Elephas maximus indicus: one gene and its partner. The protein of the gene in region 2 interacts with the protein of the main gene of each other region in a biochemical or structural test. Links are inferred from orthologs where the notes say so. Each region holds a gene or a part of one and is shown on either strand. Other genes may lie near its edges.

What was found.
Region 1: the proteins of CCNE1 (region 2) and CDC25A form a complex in vitro, tested with the Homo sapiens proteins (2 studies listed by BioGRID). The link is inferred for Elephas maximus indicus from reciprocal best matches to the Homo sapiens genes CCNE1 and CDC25A.

What each region holds. Positions count from the first base shown.
Region 1 is NC_064838.1:52,517,764-52,533,616, forward strand, and holds the start of CDC25A (M-phase inducer phosphatase 1), read right to left. Parts: upstream 7,711-15,853; 5' UTR 7,657-7,710; coding exon 7,487-7,656; intron 6,493-7,486; coding exon 6,419-6,492; intron 4,806-6,418; coding exon 4,763-4,805; intron 3,937-4,762; coding exon 3,900-3,936; intron 3,443-3,899; coding exon 3,341-3,442; intron 1,354-3,340; coding exon 1,234-1,353; intron 1-1,233. UniProt on the Homo sapiens protein: Tyrosine protein phosphatase which functions as a dosage-dependent inducer of mitotic progression. Directly dephosphorylates CDK1 and stimulates its kinase activity. Also dephosphorylates CDK2 in complex with cyclin-E, in vitro.
Region 2 is NC_064839.1:11,548,012-11,563,763, reverse strand, and holds the start of CCNE1 (G1/S-specific cyclin-E1), read right to left. Parts: upstream 7,938-15,752; 5' UTR 7,874-7,937; intron 7,516-7,873; 5' UTR 7,492-7,515; coding exon 7,469-7,491; intron 7,375-7,468; coding exon 7,287-7,374; intron 7,023-7,286; coding exon 6,954-7,022; intron 2,302-6,953; coding exon 2,156-2,301; intron 2,051-2,155; coding exon 1,915-2,050; intron 1-1,914. UniProt on the Homo sapiens protein: Essential for the control of the cell cycle at the G1/S (start) transition.

The DNA of each region.
Region 1 (15,853 bases), on a different chromosome or scaffold from region 2:
AACGTTATTGTGGATAGCACTCCAGGTTATAAACTGGTTTTTGTGAGATAGGTTCTGGGATCCCCAAGTACAAATGTGGTATAGAAAACGCCAGACAAGTCTAGATCTGTTTCTAGATAGGACTAATTCTTTCCCCAGGTTCCTACACCAAGAAGCTATTATGAGGAAACAGATTGTGGCTTAGAGACTAAAAACAATACCAAAGAAATATCCTCTGACACGTCTGCTAGCCAAACCAGTGGGATTGGCATTGACCTTTCAGTTTGCATGCCCAGCACCTACAATTAGGGATGGCCAAGTGATCACAGGAAACCCTGGTGCTCTGCTCTCCAAGCATACGCTAAAGATATTTAGTTCTTCATACCCAACTCCCAAAGGGTTACCGTGTACTCAGGCTTCTGGAGATTCTGTTAAATCCTGGTGTTCTATTATCTGCGACCTTTGGCAAATCTCTCAACTCCTGTGACTGTACTTTCCTTATCTGTAAAATGGGGTAACTCCAGCTACTTCACAAAATCATGATGACTCAATATAAGAACATGTTGTCAAAGTGGTTTGTGCAGTGGTAGACAGAACAGTAATATCAGCCGAACCTGAATCTCAAACCACATGCCAGATTGGAAAGCTGTATTTTCAGACCCAAATTCCCAGGAAAACTCAGAAACCAACTATGATCAGCTCAAGTTGGCTCTCTCTAGTCTATAGGGCTGTTTATTGATCCAGTTCAGGCTAACAGTAGGAAACTTTAGAAGTAATGACAGTTTCTGACTAACAAATAAATAGCCCAGGGACAAGTGACCCTAAATGCTGCCAAGCAGCCTGTAGGCAGTGGTTCACTGGAATTCACCATTGTTGTTAATAAGCCACCTTTGAAGAAGCCAAGTGCTGTCTCCAAATAAAACCCCTCTCTGGGGAGTGCCTCTAGCACTCAGGATGCATAGTAAAAGCGCAAGTTTTAAGTAAAAGATATAACCCCATCATACACACACTTAGAATGACCCAGGATGCCTGCAGATTATTTTCCCCACTCAAGTACAATGTTTCAAACACAACAGCTCTCACTCTGCTTCTGCCTGTCTCAAACAGCGAGAATGTTTCACAGCCTAGTTTCAAAGGACAAAGTCAAGATAAAGACAGTAAGAACTACTGCAGTGTCTTCAGTTCCAGGTTAAAGAGGGTGCTTTAACTCTTGCTTCCCCTCAGCAGCTCCCCTGCGGAAGTCAGGGCACGTACCATCCGAGCTGGGGCAGAGTTCTGCCTCTGCGTGAAGAGATCTTTACTCTCCTCAAGTCCATGAGAGTGCAGGCAGCCACGAGATGCAGGTCTGATTGGCTTCTTAAACTCAAAGGCTTCCTGCAAGACAGTATAGCGGAGACATCTTCTACTGTCCATGAAAACCAGCTCTAGGGCCTCAGCTGTAGCTTGGGTGAGACAGGCAAGAGGAGTGGGCACTAGTCACCACCTTTACAACAGCCTCCGAATGAAGGGTGGAGCTGTTTCTGATCTAACTTCTAACACTGGATATGTGTAACCTGTTCAATGACCAACTTCTAAAGCAGCATTCCCCCTCCACCACAAATACTTTATTTCCTAACATACAAATATCTGCCAACTCTACAAAACAAAAAATCTCAGAAAAACCACTACACTGGGATAAATACTATATGCTTAAGGGCCTTCTATTTTTCACCTCTTCATACACATAAGAAAATGCCTTTCCCGCTTCAAATAACTATCACATACTAAAAGCAACAAAAACAAAAACTACTGGCTTGCCAGTTTGTGGCTAAGTCTCACAAATACAATGTTGAGTTAAAGGAGCCAGATGTGGCAGAATATATACCGTGTAAAAAAAAAGTTAAAAAACAGGCAGAACTAATGTAGGGTGACAAAACGGAGACTAATGGTTACTTTTGTGGGAGATGGTTACTGACAGAGAGGCAGCAAAAGGGAGCCTCTGGGGTTTGGTCATGTCATCTTGATCTGGGTGGTACTTATATAGGTATGCTCACTTGTAGAAATTTATCAGGCTGTATACTTGAGATCTGTATATTTTATTTTATGTTAGATTTCAATACAAAGTTTAGAAAACAAGTATAATTATAGAGAAATTTGAAAAACCACACTGCCCTACCTGAAATACCCACTTAAGAACTTGTCATTAAGGGCTCAGTGCAATAACAACTAGTATCACATAATGTTGATGTGCCACCACAGTACCCAAGCACTTTCTGTGCATTAATTCATCTAACCCTCAAATACCACCTGGATGCCCCCATTTTACAGATGAGGAAACTAGGCCTTATAGGCCACATGATGTGGCCAAGGTCACAAAGCTAGGAAGTATGACACCAGAGAGGGCACGCTTTTACCATCACCTACCCAGTTTCCCCTCTAGAACAAGGGTCCAGGCAGGCAACCCTGGGAGAAGCCAAGCCCTGGGTAGGGCCAGGCATCAGTACAGCTTGGCCTGTGTGGCAGAAAGCACTACACAGAGGCTGGAGCAGTGCCCAAGTGCTCAACACAGGGAGAGCAGGGTGTTCCCACAAAAACTCATTTCTGTATCCTCCCTCAAAACATCTCTCAAGTTGCCAAATGAACCATCAGGAGAGTTCTTGGAAGCAGCAGGTTTTGCAGTAAGTGTGGAAGATTTTAAGGATTATAAATTGTGGTATTTCAGCAGGGAATGGAAAAAGGGGGGAAACAAACAGATGTAGAAATAGTGAGAAAGAGGGCCTGGGCTAATTCATTCAGTGAGTTTGGATGCCTGCCCTATGCAAGGCACCCTGCCAGATGCAAGAGAGAAGGCCAGGCCACAGTGTTGAGACTTTTTTTTAGATGGACGATCATAGAAATTCCTCCTCTAAGCCACCATTTCCATTACCCTGAGATTCCCTGGAACCTATTGACCCAATTCTTCCAAATGCTGCCAAGAAGCCTTTTCCTGAGCTCTCAGGGTTAGAGCAAAGAGAAAAGGAAAGCCTGGGCTGACCCTCCCAGACTGACTATTTATGGACATAAATATTCCTAAGAGCTGCCATCTGAGTAACTCCTACATGGCAGGTACCATTTTAAGTGTTTTATATACATTATCTCACTTATTTCCAGCAATGGTCATAAAAAAACACATCTATTTTACAAATGAGGAAAGTGAAAACTAAAAACAGAAGTAACTTGCTCAAGGTCACACAACGAGTAAGAAGGAGGATTCAAACCTCGGATTCTCTGACCCCAAAGACCATGCTTGATTTTGGCAAAGGTTTCAGCTCCCAGAAAGCAGCCAGTCATTGATTTTACTTCTGCCCGGGGTTAGTCGTTAGTATAGCGATGCCATACTCACATTTTCCTTGTTCTCATCCTGGTCAATCATGTGAAAGACATCATGGTCAAGAGAATCAGAATGGCTCCTCTTCAGAGCTGGGCTACACCCCAGGAGCTTCTGCTATCAAAATGAAAAGAGGAAATTAGGGTACATAAATGAGAATTCAGTTCTCAAAAGAAAGGGAAAGAAAAAAAAGAGGGGAGGGCTAGCTCTTCTTACACTATAGTAGTAGGTATCCAATAAGTGTGGCCAAGGCGCCATATTGCCAGAACACAGGTTGGAGGTCCTCATTACATGGCTTTACACCTAACCTGACAAGGTCTACATTCCTCTCAGCAAAGGCCAAATCATCTCCAAAATAATATCACTGGTGTAAAAAGAACCCTGGCAGGTTTGATAAAAGTCTGGTAGAGATGAATATGTAGAGGGTCTTGAGTGCTTTTCCATAGTCTTGTGCTTATAGATAAGCAGTCTTCACCCTTTAAGATCTCATATCAAGGTTACATTGGTAGCTAAGCGGGAGGGGAGGGGGCAGAGAAAAGGTATTAGCTCAGAATAAACAAGGACACTAACTTACAGGTAGGGAATTTATTCTCCTCATGGGATTTTCAAGGCTGCAATTAGACCAGAAGGTAAATAATGAGAATAAAGCAAGGATTTATTCATATTAGCAGACGAACAGTGTCTAGCCTGTAGTCTGGGGACAGTTACACAGACCAGCCTCCCAAAGAAGCAAACCCAATATTGAGTTTCTAGGTGAAAAAAACAAACTAAGGTCTTCCCTTAAAACGCACAGGTTCCCCCCTTCCCCGAGAAAATTGCAAAAATCATGAAGCAAAACAAAACAAAAACCCTGAATTATTATACATTGGAGGTGATCAGAAATGCTTTTTGCTGTAGTCTGTTTTCCCTCATCCCTAATCTTCAGTGACAGTGGCCTCTTGCAAGGACTGCTTACTCACACCACAGAAGCACAGCTGAACTAAGTTCAGTTGCTCCTGTGCCCCACTCTCCCCACCGGTCCCACCTAATGCTCAGAGTCCTCAAGGGAGTGACTGTTTTGCCCTGAGAACCTTCACAATGACTGAAAGCACAGGTTTTCTTAAGGCCATGATGTTATAGGGTGGAGTAGGGGTTTGAGTGCTCTGAATAGAACATCAAAATTATAGCTAAAATAAAGGAGGAGAGGTTCTGAAAACTGCTGATGTAAACCACTCATTCTCAAAAGATAGCAAGAATGTTGGCAGGATTAAGGAGTCTGACTACCATCAGTCATCCAGTTGATTCTGACTTATGGTGACCCCATGTGTGTCAGAGTTTGATTGTTGTTGACTAGGGACAGCTAAAGCCAGGGGTCTAGGCCAGAGTGTGAAAAATGTCATTATAGAATTAACAAAACCTTTTTCTAAGCACAAACATTTAAAAGCAGTGAATACATACTTTTCTTTACTGTCCAAGGGCCCAGGAGAATCCAGACAGAAGCCTGTGGGAAATTGAAAAAAAAAAAAAAAAAAGTGTTTCTAGCCGCCATTAATCACTGTAGTTCAGCTGGTCTATAAAGCAGCCTTCATTCCTTCAACCAGAATTTCCATTTGCCTGTCGATTTTCATTTAAAATATTTTCAGTTCTTTGTGCTTTGCAAGTGTCTAAAAATCTCTCAGAAAATCATAAACAAAATACATTTTGTCATTAAAAATAAATAAAATTAGAACTTTACGTATAAGTCAGCCAATAAAGACTCATAGCTTAGACCTTTGCCAGAACTGAAGTCAAACCTCTACTTGATTTCTGTGGTTTGCTGATTGTCAAAAACATCTTATTTGCGCAAGTCTGAATATTTTTGTAGTATAATCTATCAATTCCCTCTCCTACTTGCAAATACTACCAAAACAAAACAAAACAAAAAAACCCAAACTATGGAGATCCCATGTACGTCAAAGTAGAACTATGCTCCATAGGGTTTTCAATGGCTGATTTTTTGGAAGTAGGTCACCAGGCCTTTCTTCCAAGGTGCCTCTCACTAGACTCTAACTTCCAACCTCTCGGTTAGTGCATTAGCCGTTTGCATTACCTAGGAATCCCAATTACCATCAGTTGAAACAGATTTTGAGGAAAAGGTTAAACTGATTCACGGCATGATTGCCTGGTTGTTCAGAGGTAACTCAGGTAACTTTCCAACTGTCAGTTCCAACCACAGAAAGAACAGGTATCAGGGTTTTCTGGGATAGTTTCAATTTCAAATATTTTATCTTGGCAAATCACGTGGGAAAATTTGGGATTTTGAAAATTCAATTACTAGTCGTGTGACATGTAAGGCCAATATTTGCTGCCTTCAACAAAATGGCACCAAAGTAAGGTACCCATCTCATGAAAGGCCTCCCACACTGCCACAAATAAAAATCCTATATCTAGCTCTCAAGAAGCTGCCTGTATTTTAAGACTTTTGTTCTTGCAGTTCTTTCACCTAATGTATCTGTGCCCAAATGCTCTTATCTGTGCAAAGATAAACCCTGTAGTAACATAAATTTATGATTTAGAATAATACAGTGGCGGTTTTCCTCCACAAGCTTACTCAAATACTTTCATTATACTTCCAATAACTTGACCCCAAATTTTAACCGATGACGTCCTGAATTACACTTATAACGGTATGGTGAATTTTACTTTACTACTCATCCTTCGGAAACCCTGGTGGTGTAGTGGTTAAGCGCTATAGCTGCTAACCAAGAGGTTGGCAGTTCAAATCCACCAGGTGCTCCTTGGAAACTCCATGGGGCAGTTCTACTCTGTCCTGCAGGGTCGCTATGAGTCGGAATCGACTTGACGGCAGTGGGCAGTGGGTTACTCATCCTTCAAGGCCCAGCACACACCACTTCCTTGCAGACACTTGAACTTGTTTTGTCTCTCCATAAACTGCTACAAGGGGTTTCTTCCTGCTGTTCCTAAGGGTGTTTGTCACCCGATGCCTTGCATTCTCCATATCCTGTCTCAACCACTCACCAATAAGTCCCCAAGTGAAGAGGAATATTTCAGTAAATTCCCAGTGTTGTCCCCTACACAGCAGACACACAATGCGTAACTGAAGACAGAAAATACCTGAATCAGTTGACTCGGAGGAGCCCATCCTCTGCAGACTGCTGTTCTTCACCTCCAGTGCCTGCTCATACTCACTACAACCAAGAGAAATTTCCAGGACTCAATTAAAAGGTTACATGCAGGAGACAGGCCACAAGCTTAACAAGTGGCCGGGCTGGGCTGCCATGAACCATCATTACTTCTAGGCCACACCAGGCTCCACTTTCCCACCCTGAACACCCAGTTTGCACTTGAGGATAAAAGCAGAGGAGAAAAGAGAAAGTGGGCACACTCCTGGGCCACATTGTAGGGTATGATTATGACCAGTATTGAAATATTTCCTGAAATGGGAACATGTGTTCTAGGCACTGGGCTAGAAGAGACGATTAAAGATGACCAGGGCAGTGTTTCTGCCTTTCAGAGGTTTAGAAAGGAAGAAGACATTTGCTTAGTTAGAAAAAGGGATGCCCAAGGCTGGGAGAAAAGCTGCCTCATTAGAAACACTGTACGATGCATTTTTTACTCTAAGAAAAAGTCCCGGAGCTTTCCGGTATGGAAAGTTGGGTAAAAAAGCCTGGCTTTGGGAAAGGAACCGAGTGGGCAACAGGAATGCGCACGAGGCCAGGAGAGATTGCGATAATTTTGTACAAACACCAGGAAAGAAAATGCCACGTCCCTTTGTTGGGTAGGAACAAAGCTCACAGGAAATTAAGATCCTGTGAGGTTCAGCTAAGGGCTAAGGAGGCCCTGCTTTCTCCCCGTGGGGACAGGTTCCAGAGGGCTCCCTGGGATAGGGAAGAGGCAGAAGGAGGGTACAGGGTAACCCCAAAGGGGTGGTGAAGGTGGGGAGCAGGGGCCATCCCCACCCCACACCGGGTCCGGCCCTGGAGGGTCCGAATGGCCTCTCCCGCCCAACATTCCTCACGAGAAAAGGGTGCACATGGCGGGCCCTGGGGCCGGCGCTGCCGCCCCCGAGCGGCAGACCCAGGCGGGCAGGTCCGCCTCTCCCCGAGCCGGTTTCCCGGCCCAGTCTCCCCGGGGACCGCCAGGACCGACAGCCTGGAGCCCCACCGCTGACCTCCTCCTCACCTGCCCAGTCCCTGCAGCTGGTCCATGGTGACCGTCAGGTTGGTGACAGGCGACAGCCCCCCGGCGGCTGGCGCGCCGAACAGCGCCTTTACGACGGCCGGTGGCGCGGGAGGGGGGCTGCAGGCGAAGAGCAGGCGCCGGCGGTGCGGGGGCTCCGGGCCCAGTTCCATGGCGGCACCCGGCCTCCCCAGGGCTCCCGCTCCTTCTTTCTCCGCCTCCGCCGCGCCCGCCCCGCCCCGCCCCGCCGCGCCCCGCCGCGCCCCGCCGCGCCGACACCGGCCTCGGCCGCGCGCCCAGCTGCCGGTGTCAGCGGGTCAAACACAAACACGACCCCGCGGTTTAGGGACGCGGCCGCCGCGGGCAAGCGGCGCGGACGGGCGGGTGTCTGGGCCGGGCAGGCGCCAGCCACACGCACGGGGGCCCGACCCGCCCCCCGCGAGGCCGGCGGGCGGGCGGGAGCCGGCAACCTGAAGATTAAATCCAAACACTGAGGATCAGAAAAGGAGGGCGGGAGAGGGCCGCGAGGCAACGGCCCGGGCTCACACACTCTTCGTTCTTCTCTCACCCTTGCCCAATCCGGGGACGCAGAACACTAAGCAAACCCACACCTCCCTCCCGGGCTGTTGGGGCTGAGATGGCCTTTCGTGGCTCACTAAAGGGCCGCCGGTGCCCCGCCCCCTTTTCCTAGTTGGCGCCAAATGGAATCCGCCAATCCGTAAGCTACCTCCCCGCCCCCGAATGGCAGCCAGGCTGGACCAATGAGAGGAGAAGAAGGGAGCCGCTCGCGGGACTCTGCGAGGTCACCAGCTCTTGAGGGGGCGGGGCCCAGAGGTGACGGGGGCGGGTGGAAACGAGAGGGACTCAGAGGTCAATGAAAACTCCCAGCAGGCCCTGCGAGGCCCGGCAGAGACCAAAGGACCCCTCTTGACCCGTTGTATGCTGGGAAGCGTAGTTCCCACTCCGCGTGTACTTCGGGGGACCTCCTACCCGCGTTGAGCCACGCCCGCGTGTCCCGCGCCCCACAGCGTGAGAGAATGTGGAGATGAGAGGACTCGTCCGAGTCAGCAGGGCCCAGCCTTTTCTCTAGCCGTGCAGCACTATGGGCTGCTCTTCTGTTCGGCCCCAGACGAAGTTACAGAAGTTGAAGGACGCCCAGCCAGCCTGCGGGCCCGCCCGCATCCTCCCCGGCTCCTGACCCCAAGGGAGCTCTAACCAGCCCGGCCAGCGGCCCGTCACGGACACCGCGGGCTGCCCTGCCCACCAGCCGCTGGCCAAAGGGGGCTTGAGTTCCTCAATGCCTCATGCGCGAATCGAGATGCACCTTCGGTGTAAAAATCCACCTCGGATTCCGAGGCGTAGTACGAAAAATAAAATGTAAAATAGTTCAATAAATTTAAAATATTGATCACAGGGAGAAATGATAACATTTTTGTTGGGCTAAAAGCACAGCGTTACAATTACTTCCACCTCTCTTCACTGTGGCTATTTGAACATTTAAAATCTATGCGGTTCGCAGGTATATTTCTATTACACACACAGTGCTCCTGTAGATTCTGGCCCCTACCTCTCCCTGTGCCTGCTGCCCTTGCCCGGGTGTAGGCCTCATCATCTTCCTACTGTACGACTGCAGCAGCCTTTTAGCTGGTCTCTCAGCTGCCAGAGTCGCTCCCTCTTCCAAGCCATGTTTTCTACTGCATCGATCTCATCCTTTCCCTCTCCCAGGACATCTTCTTGGGATTCTCTTCAGCCTATTCTGAGCACTCAGTCCTTCTCGGGGGCTCCCCTCTGCCATTCCTGCTGCTCCTTATCTTTCCCGTACCATGCATACACTCTAATCTTCCTGAACTATAGTTAATAGAGGGACTTCAGAGCAGGCCACATTCTCTCTCTCCGGTACTAGGAACTCTCTTTACTGCCAAGATGGTGCAGGCATTAACTCCATCTGGAAGGTTACCAGTCACTCTAGGATGTGGCCTCAGAGTTTTGTGCTCAACTGCATTTTAAAAACCCAAACCCATTGCTGTTGATTCCGGCTCACAGCGACTCTATAGGACAGAGTAAAACTGCCCCATAGGCTTTCCGAGAAGCAGCTGGTGGATTCAAACTGCTGACCTTTTGGTTAGCAGCCTTAATGGTTAAGCGCTGTGCCACCAGGGTTCCACTTCCATTTTAGACCTTACTATTTTATATACTGAAGGGAACCCTGGTGGCATAGTGGATAAGTGCTATGGCTGCTAACCAGAAAGGATGGTAGTTCAAATCCACCAGGCGCTCCTTGGAAACCCTATGGGGCAGTTCTGCTACTCTGTCCTACAGGGTCTCTGTGAGTCAGAATCAACTTAAGGACTACGGGATATTCTGCTGTAAATCTGAATCCATTTGATGGCAATGGGTTTATATACTGTCTAGGAACACTAGTGGTGCAGTTGGTCAGGGCTCTGCGTGGGGAAAGATGTGGCAGTCTGCTTCTGTAAAGATTTACAGCCTTGGAAACCCTATGGTGCAGTTCTGTTCTGTACTATAGAATCATTATGAGTAGGAATCTTTTTTTTTTTTTCATATATACTGTCTTAGAATATTTCCTTTTCACCCTTTCTTACTCCATTGGGAGCTGCTGGATAGCAACGGTAGTAAAAATAATAATAGCTAACACGTAAACAGTGCTTATTATGTGCCAGCCACTGTTCCGTTTGCTTTACCTGCATCCATTTAATCCTTTCAACAGCTCTATGAGATGGGAATTATTATCCTAATTGAATAGGTGACTGTATTTCTTTTTAAACCCTTGCAACCACTGGTGGCTCCTAGAATGGTTTCATAAGACGGGCATAGATACAACCACCAGGCTTTAAGAGGACTTGTCTTTCAACAGCATTTTTAGAGTAAACATACTCTACTTATTAGAATGCATGTTTGTTTCAGGCAACTTTAACTGCGTGGTGGACATTATGACCACTTCCCTGCTCAGGGCCTACCACTGTATGAAAATGGTTCTTTAAAAAACTGCTTTCAAATGTTTGTATTAGGCAAACAATGCAACATAATTACAAAATTAGAAAAAAAAAACCCGTATTCCTACCACTTTTAAAGGAACAACTGTCAACACTTTGAACTTTTTTGTGTGTGTTCACTATTTTTTCAAGATCAAATCGAGGAATGAAAGGTCCTTCTTGACTGGGCAGACATTTCCTGAATGGGACTGGCACAAGTGGGATAACATTCCAAAGGATTTATCCCAGAAAGTCCAAGTATTGGAATAAAAGCTTGGATTCAGTAATGTCACAAAGCCACCATCTTTTTCCTTTTTAAAGGTTGACTAAAGTTGAGTGTGATTTGTATGATGTTTGGGGGCTATCTTCATTTATGAAAGGAAAAGCGTAATTGAACTGCCCCTTTGCCCCATTAATTTAGGCATGCTTTCTGAAGTCCCGCAGGGTGGTGTTAGAAGGAAAGAGCTCTGCACTGTCAATCTGGAGGACTGATTCTGCTTTGGGGCAAGTCAATTGTTATTCATTTGACTTCTACTGAGGGCCTACCAACTTTCTAGGCCCGAATAGACAAGTCATTGTTTCCTTGGAGGTTGCCAGGAGTGCCATCTCTACCCCCATTCCCCCTTCACCTAGCTAACACCCACCCTTCTTTCCCTTGCCAGGGAAGTTCTAGCCTTGGACTCTGACTGATACCCACCCTGGATATCATCCACCCCTGAAGAGCACTTATCATATGTTTACATTTGCTTCTACAAACTCAAGTTAAAGAGAACCTCCCAGAACACGTTGAGTTAATGAATACATGTTACAAAGAAAAAGTATGAGTGCTCTGAGAGCATTTAAGGGAATCTAATCTGGCCTTGTAGATCAAGGAATTCCTGAGGAAGTGACCAGAAGGATAAGTCCTTATTTGGTGGAGGAAGAGTGTTCTGATCAGAGGAACAAGTCCTGTGCAAAGACCCTAAGGCTGGAAGGATCCAAGAAGAGAGAGGAGATTGGGGAGGTGGGCAGCGACCAGGCTTTACCAGGGTTTGTGAGCCACATTCTGGAATTTGGACTTCATCCCAAAAGTAAGGGGAAGTGACTGAAGGGCTTACACATACATTTTAAAAAGATAGCCCTGGCTACATTGTAGAGGATAGATTAGAGAGGGGCTAGGGTACAGCTGGGGAGGCCAGTTTGGAGGGAATAACAACAGGCCTAGTATGAGATGGTCGTGGCTTGAACTGGACAGGGATGATGTGGAGGGGAAAGTAGGCCTCAGATTCTCCCTGTGGACAGTGAGGGTGATGGCCCACAATTGTGTCTTTCAGGCAGTGAAGGGCCCCATTGGGGGTCTAGGCTCCTCCTGTTGCCAAGCTGCTACCACAGTAGCTTGGCTTTTAAATCTACATTATATATTGCTGTACCTTGTATATTTTGTTTGAAGGAGTTTCTATTGCTAAAAACAAAACCAAAAAAAAAAAAAAGAAACACCCCAAAACATTACATGTGTGGTTTGGAAATTTTTTAGACTTTTTTCCCAATCAATCTATAAGATTTATTTTCTATAGAAATGGAAACATTCCTTTCCAGTACAATGTTTTACACAGGCCCATTCTCCTCTCAGAGTCCCCGGGTGGTGCAAACAGTTAACTTGCTTGGCTGCTAACAGAAAAGTTGGCGGTTCAGTTCCACCCAGAGGTGCCTCTGAAGAAAGGCCTGGTAGTCTACTTCCAAAAAAATCACCCATTGAAAACCCTACGGAGTACAGTTCTACCTTGACACAGATGGGATCGCCATGAGGTGGAGTTGACTCAAGGGCAAATGGTATGTCTCTCTCAATCTGTCTGCTGTGGAGACAGCCTGGGCCTCCCTGGAGGCTACAGGGCTTCAGCTGAGCACTGAGAAGGAAGGTCAGAACTAGGCTTTCTAAGATGGAATGAGCGGTGCAGGAGGCTGACAACCATTGTCCTTGATATTGTAGAGACAAGGAGGAGCACCTGGAACTGGGGCTTTCCAGGTTCTGAGTCTCCATCCGAATCCTCTGGGGAGCTTTAACTTTCATTTAGCTATTTAATGAGTAGGTAATCCATTCATTTGGTAGGAATTTAAATGATACTAAAAAGGCCTAGGGTAAAAAATTCTCTCTGCCACACTTGTCCCAAGCTACCCTGTATTCCTCTTCAGAGGTCACCACTGAGGCCAATTTTTTGTGTCTCCTTGGAAGAGTTTGTGTTATATGCTAACAAAACCAATACATATTCTCTCAAGCACACTTTTAAAAAAATTTTCACACACGCAATAACATATGAACACAGTCCTGAACCTTGCTTTGTTTTCCACTTCAAATATCTTGGACATGGTTCCGTATCAGCAGACTTTTTTTTTTTATTATTATGGTTACCACTTGGGAGAGCTTTTTGGAAAATATTGAACCCCTGGCCTCTCTCTCCCTTGGATATTTTGATTTCGTAGTCTTGGTGTGCGCTCCTGGAATCTGTATATTCAGAAAGCTCTCTGGATCATTCTGAAACATAGCCAGGTTTGGAAACCACTGAACTCCCTGACACCCAGAGATTACACAGCTCTAATACAGAATTTGTGTTTATCCTGGGTTGTGCTGGGTACTGAGCTTTTAGAATTGCATTCTGAGCACAGGCTAATTGCTGCCTATAGCTAAATGTTTTGCTCCGAGATGTGAACTTTTCCAGCAGAAGCCCCCATCATTCCTTCACAGGTGCTTCCTGAGCCATCTCACCCACCCCCAGCCCTGCCCTACCCTCCTGCCTTATCCCGTAGTACTCCCAAGTCCCTATCTCCCACTGGAATCTCCTTCCGGAACTTCAACCCTTTATCTGAATCCACCTAGAAAGGCCCACTGGCAACTCAAATTCTACGTGCCCCAAATCGACTTCACTTTTTCTTCTTACAAACCTGTTACCCTCCCTAGTCCTCTTGATAGGAAATGGCACCCCCATATGACCCCCTCTCTCTCCCCACCAAGCCTTCCACTAGCACTGACACCCAGGTGACCTTTGTAAATGCATACCTGATTTCCTCTCCCTTCCCTCTGCTTAAAGTTTCTCAAGGACCTTCCATTGCATAAAGAAGGCGCTTCCACACATTTGGACCCGCAACCTAGAACACACATGCACCAAGTTTCTCAATGCATCATTTACTCACACTACACGCAATACACTGTTTTCTATTTTATGCTAGTTCACGTAAAAAAAAAAAAAAAAAAGCTGGTTATAAGCCACTAAAATTAAAGTCATGACACACCTCTAGTTTGAGCAGCGCTGCTGACAGGCCGAAGCCTGAACCCTTTGGTCCAGAACACCAGATCCTTCGCAGAGATGCGCCTCTCTGGCTTTGTCTCCTTTCTCCTGTGCTCACACTGCTCCCTCCAGAAGCTTCAGGCTATTTAGACCTCTCCTCTGTCACAATCCCTGGGGTCTGAAATGTGACCCCATCCCCCAGCCCCAGTCCACTGTTTCAAATATTTCCCCCGTCATATCTCTGAAAGCTTCTTTCCCTCCTTCCTGTTTTGTGTAGCTTAATATTTGATTCAACATCCCTGTAAGAGCATTCGTTCACTCATCCAATAAATGTTTATCTATTTTTTACTGGGACTAATTCAGTGCTAGAAATAAAAATGCTTCAAGGAGTGCCCATCTGCTACATGTAAAATGCAATCTTGCAGAATGATTCTTGTAATAACGGAAACATCACCACGATTGTCGTTATTGTAGTTAGCTGCCTTTGAGTAGATTCCAACTCACGGCGACCTCATGTGTGCAGAATAGAACTGCTCTATAGGGTTTTTAAGGTTGTGACCTTTCAGAAACCAGGCCTGTCTTCCCAGGCCCCTTTGGGTGGGTTCCAACCGCCAACTTTTCAGCTAGTAGTCTAGTGCGCTAACCATTTGTGCCACTCAGGACTCTTATCTCTGTGATAGTAGACGCCAATGGTGACCTAGAGGAGGAAAGGAGATGGAGAAGGCTGGAGGGAGGGAGAGGGGGACTTCCCAAAAGAAATTAAAACTGCTGAAGCTTGAAGCTATGGGTACCTGGAAAAGGGGGACTTGGGGTGAGGTGGGGTGCTTTCTAAGGAGAGGAAAGAGCCTTCAGAAGCTGGGAGGTGAGAAGAGACGTGGCACTTTTTGGGAACTACTCCTGAGCTGCTCTGGTAGGTTCTAGGACATACATGAGGGACCCAAGTGGGAAGAAGGGGACCATTGTTGAAGGCTTTAAAGTTTGCTGAAGAATTTGGTCTCAACCTGTGGATAGTGGAGGGTGTGGAGGGTGGGACCAGAAGATCAGATTTGCTGCAGGATGGATCCATGGGGGAGAGTTAGGAGGCCTAAGGAACAAGGAGGGGGCTGTCTCAGCAGTCCTGGTGAGAAATGATGAGATCCTGGATCAAGCCCAAGTCTGGTGGTCTCAGAGACAAGAGGAAGAGGGTGATCTTGGGAGCCATAAAGGAGGTAGATCTTACTGGATTTTGAAAACTAGTTGTTGAGTTGGGCGGAAGACAGGGGGGAATCTAGAATGATTCCCAGGTAAGGACTCAAGCACCTGGGTGGATGCTGATGTTATTTCAACAGGCGGCACAGTTCTTAGAGGAGTTTAATGAACTTAGTTTTGTATTTGTGGGCTCCCCCCCACAAAAAAAATTTTTTTTGGGGGGGGTTAGCACTCGGGATAGAGATTTGGAATTCATTAGCATGAAGAAATGATGAAGTAAATGACCTGAGCAGAAGATTTCAAAGGGCGCCTTGAGGAGACAAAGTATTATAGTGAAATGTGCAAAGAACGGCGTTAGGAAACCAAAAGGGAAGAACGCTCTTGGCATTTCTCAAGCTGAAAGAATTGAAGAAAAAACTCAAGCCTCAAGTTGCAATATTGAAGGATTCTGTGGGCAAAAAAATTGAACAATGCAGGAAGCATCAAAAGAAGATGGAAGGAATACACAGAATCACTGTACCAAAAAAAAATTGGTCAACGGTCAACCATTTCAGGAGGTAACATATGATTAAGAATTGATGGTACTAAAAGAAGAAATCCAAGCTGCGCTGAAGGCATTGGTGAAAAATAAAGCTCCAAGAATTGATGGAATACCAAATGAGATGTTTCAACAAATGGATACAACGCTGGGAGTGCTCACTCTTCTATGTCAAGAAATTTGGAAGACAGCTGCCTGGCCAACTGACTGGAAGAGATCCATATTTATGAGCATTCCAAAGAAAGGTGATCCAACAGAACGCAGAAATTATTGAAATTATTATCATTAATAGCAAAATTTTGCTGAAAACCAAAAAAACTAAACCCGTGGCCTTTGAGTCAAATCTGACTCCTAGTGACCCTATAGGACAGAGAAAAACTGTTCCATAGTT
Region 2 (15,752 bases):
CTAAACAGGACATCTTAAATGACTGCAATTCAGGGGATTAATAATAGAAAAAGAGCTGGAGAAACAACCCACAGAATATTAATAAGAAAATTTCATCAATTACCAAAGACTATTTCTGAAGCGTAGGCTGAGCCATATTATATTTAGCCTCAGTTTTTATAAAGAAACAACTACAACCTGACTAGAAGTGAAACTAAGCCTTCTGTTCTCTAAGGACCTCTCAGACCTGTTTGGCCCAGCCCACTGCCTTTATCTCACACAGATTCTCAGCGGGGCTGGGGGTGGAGAAACGTAACATCATCACAGACAAGCAGGCCTGTGAATCCTGGGCTCCAGGCTTGTCCCACTAAAGACATAAAGGTAACCATCCTTTTTTATCCTCTCAATGGTATATTACATGATTTTTGATTGCCTTTAAGAAAAAAAACATTCCTTCAAAGCCTAATGGCATCAATTGATTATACAAAATAGAACCTCGCAGTCTTTTTAGGGGAATGAACTGAAGCCCGAGAGATTAAAACATATTATACCTAAGGCTTCAAGAAACCATGTAAGTTCCAAAGGGCACTGAAGGGCTCTACGACGCGGGGCGGGGCTGGGGGCGCAACTGCAGGGCCTGTAATTTAAAAGCAGGCCTGCAATGCACGCAGTGCAGAAAACGTCGACATTCTCAGGGGGCAACAAAGAAAAGCAAACTATGTACGTGGCATTTGGAAGACGCTGTTTTCCATCCTAACCAACTCAGCAAGGAAAACGCTGCTAGAAAACATTACAGATGAGAAAACTAAGACTTAGCGTTAAATGACCTGCCAGACCAGGGGCACACAGATGGTTAGTGGCAGTGGGGCGTTTGATTCTAGGACTAGCGAAACCAGGGTACACATGCTGTTGTGTGCCGTCAAGTCGATTCCGACTCACAGTGACCCTGTATGACAGAGTAGAACTGCTCCATAGGGCCTCCTAGGCTGTAATCTTTAGGGGAACAGACCGCCAGGTCTTTTCTCCCTTGGAGCCGCTACTGGGTTCAAACCACCAACCTTTGAGTTAGCAGCCAAGCTCTTAACCCTTGCACCCTGGGAATACAGGCTTTTCAAAGGGTACACAGCACAGTTTTGGGGAATGTTTGGATTCCCAACTTCCATGCATACCCTTCCATGGAACGGGTCTGCCTGACATGCTTTTCTTCCACTCACAGGAAAGCCCACCCCCAGCCACCCCAAGTCTCACAATGGCGTCTGGGAAGCCTTCCTTAAGCCAGGCCCTGTAAGCCACCCACGGTTCATTCCAGAAAGAGGTGTGCTGCCAAAAAAACTTCACTTCTTATGTTTAACAATTATCTATCAAAATTAGTAATACTTATTATTTTGAGTGATTGCTGCAGGGAAGTGTGAGGTAACTGATAAAAGATGTAAACAATGTATTTTGGGAGGACAAAATCCTACAGGGAAAGGGGAATGGACTTCAGAGAGTAAAAACGAACAATGTAAAATTTCTGACTGTAAAAGATACGCTTGTTCACATAGTCTTAAAATTTATGACCCTGGTTATAGAGTCGCTGATATCTGTACTCCTTTGGATACATTCAAAAGTAATTAGCAAGGATCAATTATCAATATTTACAATATGCTGGGAAATATAACCTTTGCAACTATTTAACCTTGGAGACAAAAAAGATTACCGTCAACTCTGAGTCGGAATCAACTCGATGGCACCCAACAAGAACAAAATCATCTCAGGAGTAAAAAGATTGCAGAAATTCATTTAAGGAAGGAAGCAAGTAAAAGAGTTAGAAGATCACCGCAATATACCACAGCTTCAAAAACACGGAATGGAATCAAACACGCAGAGATCATAACGGTGCAGAATATTCTAGAAACAGTCAACACCTCCAGTTAAAGGGTGGACTCCACTCACCTCCATGAGCCAGTCCAGAAGGATGGCGCGCATCTTCGGCTGCAGAAGAGGGTGCCTCTGCATGACGTGCTTATCCCTCAAGTAGGTCTTTTCTTTGTTTAGCATGATATTCCACACTTCGTCTCTATTTGCCCAGCTACCGAACATAAACGAGTATTAGAAAGCACCCAGACTGACGAGGGAGGGGACGGTGACGACACGGAGTGGAAGGTCTGGATGCCACGTGTACAGCGACACTTACTTCAGAACTGGCAGTGGTGAGGCTCTCGTTGGCGCGAAACTCGGAGGTTCGTAGGCGGAATGTGGGTATGCCAGCTCACCCTCCTCTTTGTCAGGTGTCGGGATCAGGGAGCAGGGGTTTGCACAGGCTGCATTACTGTCCCAAGGCTATAAAAGACAAACACATTTTGTTTTTGGTGCCTGATGTACAATGGCTATTTTTACATTCACTGATTTGTAGATTGGCCAGTATTAAAAAAAAATATCCCACTGGAGAATAGCCTTCAGGCCTAAAGTGAGATGGAGATGGGTAAGTAAAAGCCACAGAGATGATGTCAAGCTTTTATTTCATCAGCTTAGGAGTCTACAAGTAAATACCTAAGAATATTTTCCACATTACCACCTTATATGGGGTACTTGAACAACAAAATGAACAGAAGGGTAAAATAAAATGCCAATAGCTCTTACAGTAAAAAAAAAAAAAAAAGACAGACAAATCCATTTATAGCTCAGTAAAATACTAGGCATGACTTCTGCAATTGCTTAGGAAAAAGAAATACTATGGGATTGTTGTCATTTGTAGTCGCTATTGAGTCGATTCCAACTCATGGTGACCCATGAGTGCAAAGTAGAACTGTGCTCCACAGGGTTTTCAAGGCTTGACCTTCCAGAAGCAGATTGCCAGGCCTGTCTTCTGAGGCACCTCTGGCTATTAGATATGCTTGTTCATATATTCTTAAAATTTATGATTGTGGCTATCAAGTAGCTGATATTTGTACTCCACTGGATACATTTTAAAGTAATTTAATTAGCAAAGATCAATTATCAATATTTACGATATTCTGAGAAACATAATCTTTGCAACTATTTAAACTATGATGAAAAAAGATGAATTAGGTTCGAACTGCCAACCTTTCATCTAGTACGGGAGTCGCTTAACCGTCTGCACCATCCAGGGACGGCCCTACTCAGGGATTATTTTGTCACAAGCCAAAGATTTGTTTTTTATCAAGTATAATTCATCTGCTAAACTTTCTTAAAAGTGTAACACAGAAAACTATAAAAGATCAAACATATACACCAACTGCCATTCTCATTAGACTCCTCCATTTTGAAACAAGAACACATAGGATGTGATATCCTCCCTTAGTTACAGGAAGAGCCAAACATGCTACACAGTGAAGATCCTCTATTTTCCTTAATTCAAAGCAAAACGAAATCAGTGCAAAAAAAAAAAAAAACCTAATCAGGCAACGATCCCGGGTTATACTAAGACGTTCATGCAGATAGAGCTTAAAAAAAAAAAAAAGAGCTTAGATACTGATTACATTAAAAAAAAAAAAAAAAAACTGCCATGGGACACGGTAAAGACAGATCAAAGAAAACAACTTGGGTGCAAACTGAAATTTTTGTCCAGTTTTCCACACTTACTCGTTTCTGTGGCAAAATCCTAAAGACACCTGAACCCAGAGCCCTATACAAAGTAAGACTCAAATACCTGCTAAATCAATGAATCATTAAAAACCAAGCCAATATGCTTTTCTTTTAAAGTTTTCAAATACTTAATTTTATTCAATTCTCCATGTTTGGAAAAGACTAAGGTCATTGCACCATTTGGAAAATTTTCTTTTTTAAAGCTACCTCTAAACTGCTCTGCTGAACTTCATACTATAAAAAGAAGCCTATGTTTAATTTTTAAAGTTATAACACAATGATTTTGTTGAAGATATGGCAGGAAACAATCTTGCCAGCAATGGAAGTTTTAGACTCTTGGCAATTTTTTTTTTTTTTTTTTTTTAATGCAGAAAGGCCATTAACGTTGACTAGAAAAAAAAAAAAAAAAAGACACCTGAGATGACCATAAATGACCCTGAGGACTTGGGCTCTACATGCCACGTGGAAGATAAGGTCCACAGTGGCCATCATAGCACACTGGCCACCTTCAAGGACACCTGAGCACTTTCAGTCTCCTGAGATAGGCAAGGTGAGAAAGCTCTTCACCACCTGATGCGCAGAGAAGCGGGCAGACAAATCGTCCATCCCAGCGCCTGCCAACAGCTGTGCGAGAAGGGCACCCTCCTCCCCAGCTCTAATACCATGTGCCGGTGGCATTTCCTTGACTCAGAGAAGATCACATTACAACTGCTCTAAATTCACTTTGTTCTTCATACAAGAAGAGACTGAAGCTTAGTTTTGAAGGCAGAAGCTTGGTACCCCCCTCGACAGCCAGGCGGCTGGCACAGCTGAGCAGGCCTTTGGTGGTAAACCGGCAGCAGTTCCCAACCTGCAGCTCACAGACAAGTCAGGTGAACCACACGCAGACAAACGGTTCCCAAAGCTGGCCTTTTCCAGAAGAAGCAGGATAATGAAGTCTAAGTCTTTAGCCTGAAGCGTACACCAAGTTTCAAAGGAAGAAAGATCAGACTGGCTTTAGGAAAGAATGGGAGAACAGCAAGAGACCAACTGTGACTACTCCTAACCATCCCTGATGTCTTATGCCACAACTAAGGATAGAATTACATTGTGCCAAATGATTTTCTGAGAATTAGCAAAGTCCCAGACTCTGCTCCAAAACTAATGTTGGGTCATGTGCAAGAAATAAAACAATGAAATGGGTATGTATGCTAAATGGACTTTAGATGTTGTTGGTAGGTGCTGTACATTTCAACTCATAGCAACTGCATGTGACCAAGTAGAACTGCCCCATTGGGTCTTCTTCACTGTAGTCTTTATAGAAGCAAATAGCCAGGTCTTTCTCCTGCAAAGCTGCTGGGTGGGTTCGAACCGCCAACCTTTCAGTTAGCAGCCAAGCATTCATCTGTTTGCTCCACCAGAGCTCCTTGGACTTTAGACAAAAGGCACTTTTTCACTAAGGACGGCCTTGATGAAGCAGTCACACTCGGCACGACGGCTCCAGGAAACTTGGGTTGTTGTACTGGGCTATACCAGAGTGTTGTCCTATACTCATGACTGGCCCGCTGAAATAACTCCTGAGGAAAATTCTGTGTAATTAATAGTTAAAAAGGTTCTGTTGTGTCCTCAAATTCTAGCTTCATGAATCTACACAGAAATAACAAAGACATTGTTCCATAACAGATGGATAAATTTCAGGCTATCTACTCTACAAACACACAGAAACCTGTTCTCATGAGTCTCTGGACAACCACGAAATGCTTTCTAGTGGGAAATAATATGGCTATTCACGTATCCCAGCTATCAATGCTCCGCAGTGCCAGGACAGGGCCCTGTCTTAGGCACCCTAGAAACTGCACCAAGAAGTCAACATGGGGGGCTTTGCTTTACCTTCAGTTGCAAAGTTCCTTTCCATTTGAAACACAGCTAAGAAAATAAACAATTTTGATTCTTACAAGTAGGGGTTCGTTTTATAACACCTCGGAAATCCACTTGCTTGATAAGAAGTTTTTCTCTTTAGGGGCATAAAAGGGGGAGAAAGAACTTAGGATGTGCCGTCCATTCCCTCTCCTAAACTCTTTCTTCTAACAGAGAAAGAAACCCTCCACCCTTGCTGAATATTCAGCAGATCTGCCCCAGAAATGCCTGATACTAAGGTCAGTGCAGTGACGAATGCTGCTGCAAACAGTGCGGCCCATCAGCTCTGAAGCCCTTCACTCTTCCCAGCCCGGCTGCCGTGGCTACTGCTCGCTGCCCTGACCCAGGCAGGACCGCATACACAGCTTGAAAACTACTCCCGCGCAGCTTTTATCTGCGATAGCGTCAGGCCTGACCAGCTAGTTTGGAGATAGATTGCTTCCCCTAGTGGAACGCTAACTATAGTCTCAGCCATTTCTGGGTGTAGAGATAATGCAAGTTTTCGCTGCAAAGAATCTCTGATATTATGACGGCACCCTATATGCAGGAAACTCGACAGAAACTACTTAAGGGAGGGACGAGAGAAATGGACCAGTCAATGAGAAATGTGTGGAGACACACACATCATTACACAGAATGAGATCAGGATGAGCCCTGATCACAGTGGTTAACTGCTGGATGGGCTGGAGGAACTCCCACGGCCAGAATAGGTGGAAGGTTTGAAACTGGACCTAAGTATGGGGTAGGGGCAGGGCAGCAAAAAAGGTCCTTAAACTCCCCTGTGACAAAACAATCTAAGTGTGGGTGGGGAAGTCAGTGCTTGTAAACACACACAAGCACCCATCATCACAGTCACCCTGAGAGTTCTGTGTCCAGAACCTTCCGTCCTTCGTGAGCTTTTAGAGACACGGCTGCAGGCCTGACTCTGCCCCCAGCCTGTATACATCCCTGGATTACTTTCTTCCTACAATTGGGCCTCAGTTTCCTCATGGGTAAAAACAGAAAAAAAAAAACCCAAAACAAAAAACCAAGCCCGTTGCCCTGAGTCGCTTCTGACTTGTGGCAGCCCTACGTGTTGTAGAGTAGAACTGTCCCATAGGGTTTTTAAGGTTGTGATCTTTTGGAAGAGGACCACCGGGCCTTCCTTCAGAGGCGCCTCTGGGTGGGTTTGTACTGCCAGCCTTTCAGTTTGTTTGGGCCACCCAGGACTCCTGGGTAAAAGGAAAGGACTGAGTTATTTAGTGTCCGCTCTGGTTCTTCCAGACAGCACGTATCTATAATCTCAGAGCGTGCTGGTCAGGAGCACAAGACCTTCCTGGAAGCCCAAGGCTGGCAGAGGCCAGTGCCCACCGGCAGGCACAGTGCTCAGCTGTGTGGACTGTATGGAATTAGAGAAAAGACCTTCAGCAGGAGGTGGCAGGGCATAAACCCAACTTGACCGTGGAGAGGGGGAGGCCCTCCGGCTGGACCAGGTCAGCGAGCACATGTACCTGACTGCCACACTGGCTTCTCACAGTCCTCTCAATTGTGGCGACTTCTTCATCTGGATCCTGCAAAAACTAAGGTAAAACAACCCCCACACACAGAAACACACCAAACAACCCAGAGACAAAACACACAGAGAAAGAGAGAGAGAGAGAGGGAGAGAGGGAGAGAGAGAGAGAGAGAGGGAGAGAGAAAAGAAAGTTGATTAGGTCATGAGCGCCATTTCTGCCAAAGGCATCCCCCGCCTAAGCCCCTTTGGACAAGTTTGTGGGCAGAGCCCAGCCTGGTACCCAGGTAAGACGGGGGGTCCTGGCCCCACCTGTCCCCTTTGTACTCACAACGGCCACATTTGCCTTCCTTTTCCTGGAGCGAGCAGAGAGATCGCTGCTGCCGTCCTCCTTCATGGTGCCCCGCTCCTTCGCATCCCTGCAAAGCGGGTGGTGGCACCACGGCCGGGTGAGCCCCCGTCCCGCCCGCCCGCCACCCCTCCCCCTCCCCCCCCCCCCGCGCCGGCACTCACCTCTCCCTCCTCTCCCGCGGCATGGCGCAGGGCGGCTCCGACCGGGCCTGGGGGGCACGGCGCGGGCAGGGGTGAGGCGGAGGGGCGGGCGGGCGGCGGGCCAGGCGGCCGCGGCACCCCTCCCCCTCCCGCGCGGGCGGCGGCGGGAGCCTCCTGGGCCGGCCGGGAAAATGGCCGATGGGCCCGGGGTGGCCTGTCACCCGCGGCGCCGCCAACAGCCCGCGATCCCGGGTTCGAAGCAGGGCTGACGGGCCCCGGGCGCCCCCCGAAAGCCCGCCGGCGTCCCGCCTGCCTCGGCGCCCGGGCTGCCTCAGTCTCCCCGCAGCACCTCTCCCTCGGCCCTCCCCGGGGGACCCCGCGCTGACGACCCCGGCCCTCAGCCCGCAGCCCGCAGCGGAGCCCTACCCGAAGCCGGCTCCTCGGCGGGCGTCGGCACGAGCCGAGGCGGGAGGCGGCGGGCGAGCGGGAAGCCGGGAGGCGGGCGGCGGCGAGCGCGCGGCGGCGGGATCCGCGCCTCCCCCTACACCGCGCTGGCTGCCGAGGCGGCTGCTCCTGCGCCCGGCTTCGAGCGGGACATTTAAAATCCCTGCGCGCGGAACCGGCCCCCGGCCCGCCCCCGCGCCCTCCCGCCAGCCCCGGCCCGCCCCGCCCCGCCCCGCTCCGAGCCCCTCAGCGGCCGCCGAGGGGACCGCCCCGCCCCGCCACCGCCCTCGGCCCCGCCCCGGCCGCCTCCGCGCCAGCCAGCTGAGGAGAGCCGGGCCGCGCGGGGCGGGGCCAGGGGCCGGGGCGGGGCCTCCCCGGGGCGGGACCGGGGCGGGGCTAAGTGACAGGGCCTGCGCGCCGGAGGGACAGGCGCGGGCGCGGTGGGCGGGGCCCTGGGCGGGGGCGGGGCCCGAGCTGCGGCTCTGCGCGGGCGGGACGCGGGAGAGCCAGAGCGCGCGCGGTAGGGAGGCGGGGCCGCGCCGGGGGCGGGGCCTGAGCGGCAGAGCCCGCGCCGGGCGGAACGCGGGAGAAGTCTGGCGCGAGCGCCGCCGAGGGGCGGGCCGCGGAGCTCAGGGGGCGGGGCGGCGCGGCGCTGAGCTGCTGGGAGCCGCGTGGCCGTCGCGGGTGGAATGTAAACACGGCGGACAGCTAGGGCTCGCGCCGGGACCCGCGGATGCCGGAGGCTGCTGGTCGCCGAGGCCCCGCCGCCCGTCGGCCCGTTGCGCGCGCGCGCCCAGTCCTTCCAGGCACGTCCTCCCCGCCCTCGAGACGCAGGCACGGTTCCGGGCCCCGGGTCCGGGCGGGGACGTGTCCAAGGTCACAGCGCGTGGTTGCCGGCCCTTTCTGGCCGCGGGTCTGGGGCCGCCTGTGCACCAGCTGTTTGTCCTGGCGCCGTGTCGGCTCTCGTCGGTCCCTCTATCTGTGCATTTATTCATTCAATTAATACTCGAGCGCCTTCCATGTGGCCCTCCACGAATGCCCCTCCCCCACCAAAAGGCCTTTCGGACGCGGGGTTTCCATCAACCTTAGGTTCAAATCCGCACTCCCTACCCTGGTCTGCAGTGCGCCGAATAAGCCGCCCCTCTTCTCCCTCTCAGACCTCCTTGAGCCTTTCCCCACCGCTGCAGCGGCCACCCTCTGTCCTTTCTTACCTCAAGGCCTTGGAACTTGTTTTCCCCTCGCCTGGACCCCTTGTGGTGCTCATCCCCCCAAGAAGCCTTGGAGGTCTTCAGCCAAACTCAAAGCCACTGCCATGGAGTGGATTCCGACTTATAGCCGACACCATAGCGTTTCCAAGGCTGTGAATCTTTACGGAAGCTAACTGCCACATCTTTCTCCCGTTGGTGCCCCTCGTGGTTTTGAACCACCGACCTTTTGGTTAGCAGTCGAGTGCTTTAAGCACTGTGCCACCAGGACTGCATCAGAGGTCTTTAGTGACCACTTAATCTAGAGCACTCCTGTCTCCGCAGGAGTTCCCTTCATCTCACTGCCCTGCTGTGGTCCTTCGCAGAGGCCACTTCTTTGTTTCCTTGGTCAATGTCCCCCTTGCTGTCTTGTCTGTCTAGTTCACAGCTGTATCCCCCAGCTTTTGGCATAATGTCTGGGGAGGAAAAAAAAAAAAGGGGAGACCCCTAAATCATATTTTTGAATGAATGAATGAAATGTACCCTGCCCGAGCCTTTGTGGGGCCTACGTGCTAGTGGGAGAGACAGGTATTGAACAATTGTCACTGGTAATTGTACTCAACTTCTAGAAGGAGGGTTTAACAGAGGGCTCCTGAATACTCTCAGGCCCTTCCTGGTTCAGTCTCAGTGTTTCCTCCCTCCCTCAGTGGCTGGCTCCTTGAAGTTAGAGCCTGGATCTTATTGAAGATCAGGTCTTGTGTCTTCCCCAGAGATCCTCGTCAGCAGATTCATGAGTTCCCAGGAGCTCTGAGGCTAGGGCAGCTGAGGTGACTTGTGTAGGCTGGCTTCTTAGGTGGGCATGGAACCCAGGCTCCTGATCCTTGTGCTCTTTGGTAATGACAATTGCTGTTACTGTGTGCTGTGGAGTTGATTCTGACTCACAGCAGGTATCGTAAACAGCACTTCCAAGATGGCAGCATTGGTCTAAATCCATCAAAGCGTGATCCCAGTGAAACTTCACAGTGGCGCTCTAATGTTGGTCCTATGATTGTCCTCTTTAACAGATGGCAACTATCTGCTTCCTGGGTCATTGCAAGGATTAAGTGAGATAACGCAGGTGATCGCTTAGTACGGTGCCTGGCACATAGTTATAAGGATAACAGAGATAAACAAGACCCTTTTCCTTGGTGGTTGTAGCAATTGGCTCTCTCACCAGCAATGCATGAGAGGTCAGGTGCTCAATATCCCAGCTGACATGTTCATCAGCAGTAGAATGGATACACTTTGGCATATTCATTCAATGGAGTACTTCACAACAATAAAAAAAGAACAAACCTCTGAAATACACAACAATATGGATGAATCTCACACACATAATATTGAATGTAAGAAGCCAGATGCAAAAGACATGCACAAAAGACAATGACTGTCAACCACAGAGGCTGCCCAGAGCTGCTGCAGCACAGCGCTGGGGAACCAGAGTGTGGGAAAGCCCGGGAGGCTTGGCTCCAGCCATCCCTCAGCCCTGGAAACCTGTCTACACTCGTCTGCCAGGACTGCTAGAGTCAAGGGCCCAAATCCGTGCTCCCCAAGGCTTGGTTGCTGCTCAAACTGAGCTCATGCTACCGCGTGTGGTAGGGGGGCTTACAGGGACAGGATTGGCAAACCAATGGATGGTCCCAGGCCTGGCCTAAAAGCCTGTTACACAGGGGAGGAAGTCCAGTGAACACTTCTTTAGACAGCAGGCTGGATCCATTAAAAAGCCCTGATGAAAATTACAGTTAGCTTTTAAACTCAGTATATGATAGAACAATGACGGCAGCTGGCATTTGTGGATGCTGGGCTCAGCTCAGGGTTGCAAGGAACAGAGACTAATTTGAAGACACTCCAAGCACAGGGGGTGTGTGTGACAAGATGTGGGGAATGCGTCAGCAAGGGCTGAGGAAGAAGGTGCTTTGTCCCGAGTCTGACCACCATATCCCCAGCTTTCATTAAAACCTCATTTTGGGTTCTCTGAAAACAAGCACAGCTGCAAGACAGAGCAGGAGCTTGGACAGAGAAGACCCTGGCGCTTCCCTTTTGGTCAGTGGCCACATTTTCTTAGAAACACCAGGTAAGGGAGAGTCCTGGCTAATCAGAGCACCACATTCGTGGCCACGTGATTGGTTCAGTGATAGGCACATGACACAAGCTGAACCAATGAAAATTTTCTGGGGTTGCTAGGCTGAGTGGACTGGAGCCAGGAGGCTATCTTGCCACCCAGGGTGAACCTTCTTGGACTGAAGCCCTGGGGGAAGGGAGGAGGCAGAGAAGCTGGAAGGCCGGCTTTTGATCCTTTGAGCCCCTAGATCCAATCATGGCAGAGACCAAATTATTAGGGACTTTCCAGATACTAAAGCCAATACGTTATTTTCACATACTTATTTAGCCAGTTAAGAGTTGAGTTCCTGTTAATTGCAATCAAGAGTGTCATGTAGCATCAAAGTGCAATGAACCATCAGACTTTGTCTAGCCCAGGGCAGGCCCACCAGTGAGCCTCCCAGTGGTCCCCTGGGGCCACTGAGGCTCTTGTCTCTAAGGTTCTGTAAATCTATCCAGGAGTGGCTGACCAGCACATGGTTCAGGAGGTGCCAGGTTTGAACATGGCACTGGACGTCAGAGTCATCCTCTCAATTCCCCAGAAAGCCTAACCTCCCTAGAATCATCCGTCAGTCACTGGCTTGCATCAGTCTTGTGGGAATCCACATGTCAATCAGCATGGCAGCCTCAGGAGCCCCTGTATGCCTGCCCCGGCACAAGTGCCAGTGAGGCTGGCGTGGACCGGCTTGGCCCTGTCCTCCAGGAGTTGCCAGGAAGACCTCACATGCTCTGGGGGTCAGTTGGACACTAACTGACAAGGACGGCCCCCGAAGACGATGGGGCAGAGATGGCAACTGATGCTGGGCCCCACAGAGTATCAGATTAGCAAGAATATGAGTTCCTGTACACATGAGGGTTTCTGACTCTGAGCAGCAGGGTGAGGGAGCACAGTTGGACTCACGTGTGTGCAGAGCAATGGCAGACGGCCACCCTCTTTGGGTGGGGCAGCTCTTCCCTATGGCTTTATTCCTTTGGGTATTGTCTTAGACTGGGCTCTCTAGAGGAGCAAAACCAGTGAAGAAGTGTGTATATATATATATATATATAAATATATATAACCCAAACCAAAAGCGAAACCCATTGCCGTCGAGTCAATTGCGACTCATAGCGACCCCATAGGACAGAGTAGAACTGCCCCGTAGGATTTCCAAGGAGTGGTTGGTGGATTTGAACTGCTGATCTTTTGGTTAGCAGCCAAGCTCTTAACCACTATGCCACCAGGGCTCCAAAGAGAGAGATTTATTTCCAGGAAATGGCTGACACAGTTGTGGAGGCCAGCAAGTCCCAAATCCGTGGGTCAGACTCACACGGTTGCAGGGCCTGATGCACCCAAATTGGCAGGTCAGGCGGCAGGCTGCTGGCTCACAGGGCTGTGGGAACTGGTGATTCCCAGAATCTGCAGGTCAGGTGGCAGGCTGCTGGCTCATGTCCCAAGAACCGGGGGTCAGATGATGACAAGTCAGATGCACAGTCGAGACAGAGAGAGAGCTGTGCCAGAACATCCATATATATTGGATGCAGGCCACACCACCCAGGAAACTCCCCTTACATCAGATCACAAAATGGAGGACAATTACATAATACTGAGAATCATGGCCTAGCCAAGTTGACACGACATTAACCATCACAGGTATCAACCTGCCCACTGTAACTATCTGACCTTGTGACCCCACCTAGGAATTCAGAGCTCATCCAGATCCATTAGGATAAGTAAACAGGAAGGAGGAAAAGTACAGAGCAGTGAGGAAGGGGTAGGCCAGAAGCGTTGCAGACCTAAAGACCTGAGCGTTCCCCCAGAGCCTAGAACAGGGCCTGAAACAGCCAGGTGTGCTGAATAAACAAACAGATGGATGAGTGAGCAAAGGAAAAGGAAAGACTTTTCCAGAAGGCAATGGGAGGCTGGATGCACGGAGTGGGGTTGGGGGTGGGGGTCCTTCTTTTGCTGTGGCTCGCGTAGGGCTGATACTGGGGACACAGAAGGACTCTGATGCCACCCTCATGCTGCTCTGCTCTGAGAGCCACGCACCTTCAACCTCCCGCTATGATTCGTAAGTCCCACTGAAGTCCACTTGTTTGAAAAGGAAAACCTATCCCTACCCTAGGCCAGCATCAGCAGTCACAAACAGAAGGGAAGCATAAAAATATTTATAACCAAGAACAGTGCCTAAGGCTGTGAGCCTGGGGCCTGATCTCTTTCTGTTTAAAAAGAGCAGCAAATACGAGAGGTGTTAAGGACACCTCAGCTTCAAACAGAGACTTTCTCCTTGATTGAGCAGAACATTTGAAAGGGTTGAAAAGGGAATGACTCTCACCATGCAATATGATAGTGTTTAAAATTAGCATATAAAACTGCGTTCAGCGTAAGGAAAGGGGTGAGCAATGGGCGGGGATGTAAAAAGGTCAGAGGAGGGATCTTTCTGAACTGAGGGCATTCCGGAGAACTTCCTGCAGGAGGAGACCTTGCAGCATCTATTAGTGGGTGCCCATGGGAGCCTGTGCAGTGGCCTGGGGAGCGGAGCTGGGAGAGGTGGTTTCCAGCTCTGGGTGTTCCCATCTCAGTATGTGACCTGGGTGCAGTAGTTCCAGTGCCCAGTGCTTTGGCTTCCTTCTCTGGCTGGAAGGATGTAAAGAGGGTGGTTGTGAGGCTGAAGTAGGGGCCTGTGGGAGAGCACATGGAGGGTTCAGTACCCAGGGTCTAGGGGAGAGGATGGCTGTGTTTTCAGGATCTGTCCCCAGCTCCCACAGGAGTCCCCTAGTTCACTCTGGTCCATTTTTGGTGGGGACATTAGTGGGCTCAGTTCCAGTGTCTGGGGACAATTAATCATGTTCCCTGTCTTCACACGTGTCATGATGCTGGATAATAGAAAGGATTTAGTTATCAAGGGTCCACAAGATGCGTTGCACACGGTAGGTGCTCATTAAATGTTCGCTGAATGGATGCAGGGATGAAGTCTATTCTAGGGGCGCGAAGGCTAAATCAGATGTCGTCCTGCCCTCGAGATATTCACTCCCAGTGGAGAAGAAAAGCAGTCCACAAAATAGCAGGAGGAATACCAAGGGCATCAGCAAGCAGCAAGAGAAATGCTAAGATGAGCAGGCCAGCCAGGGTGGGCCAGCACCTACAGCAGGGGTCCCTGCCGCTCAGGAGAAAGAGCAGGAGGTGGTACCACAGACACTGTCTTCATCTAGGTCACCAATGCCCTGCATCTTGCCACATCCAAAGGGCACATTTCAGGCTCATTTTACTGCCCTTTCAGGAGTGTTGACCACGGTGGACCACTCCCCTCTTCTTGAGAACACCTTCTGGTCTTGCCATTGGTGACACTACACTCTCCTGGTTTTCTCTCCCCTCCCTGGCCGCTCCTTCTCAGTTCCTTTGCTCCTCCTCCTCTAGTTACATGAAGGAGTTCTCCAGAACTTTTCTCGAATCTTTATTCTCAATATACTCCTTTTCTAGGTGGTCTTACTACCTCCAGTCCACACCTCTATTCTGCCCACAGGACATCTCTGAGACTTGGCAGTCTCACACGCATCTCAAGTATAATATGCCCCACTCTGGCTTTACCTGCCTGTTATGTAGTGCTGCGATAAGAGAAATACCACAAGTGGGTGGCTTTAACAAACAGAAATTTATTCTCTCACAGCTTAAGAAGCTGTTCTAGGGGAAGGCTTTCTCTCTCTGTTGGCTCTGGGGTAAAGTCCTTGTCATCAATCCTTTCTTGGGTCTAGGAGCTTCTCAGCAAAGGGACCCCAAGTCCAAAGGTCATGCTTTGCTCCTGGCTCTTCTTGCTTGGTGGTAATGAGGTCCCTCCTCCTCTCTGCTCCATTCTCTCTTTTATATCTCAAAAGAGATTGACTCAAGATACAATCTAATCCTGTAGATTATGTCCTGGCTCATTAACATAACTGCCTCTAATCCTGCCACATTAACATCGTAGTGGTTAGGATTTACAACGCATAGGATAATCACATCAGATCACAACATGGTGCACAACCATACAATACTGGGTATCATGGCCTAGCCAAGTTGACACATATTTTTGGGGGACACATTTCAATCCATAACACTGCCTCTATCCCATCTCAGTAAAAGGCACCACAGTTCACTCAATTACTCAAGCCCCAAACCTGGTATCCATTCTTGATTTTTCCCTTTTCCTCACTTTCCACTTTGCATGCATCAGTAAGCCCCAGTGGCTCCCTGCCCTCCAAATATTTCCAATCTGTCTATGTCCCTCCATTTCCAGTACCACCGTCTCATTGTAGACTAAGCCACCATGCCTGCCTGGAAGACTACCATGTCTCCAAACTGGTGTCCCACATTTGGTCTCTCTTACCCACAAGAATACCTTTGCCACCTAACAGCCAGAGTCCACAGTCATTTATTTTAAAAGGGGCTTGATCAAATCTGCACTTTCCTAGAGCCATTTGACAGCTTCCTGCTAATTACAGAATAACATCAAATTGCTTATCGTGGCTTACAAGGCCTTGCATGAGTCGGTCTTTGCTTATTGCCATTCTCGTCCTGCACCTCTCTC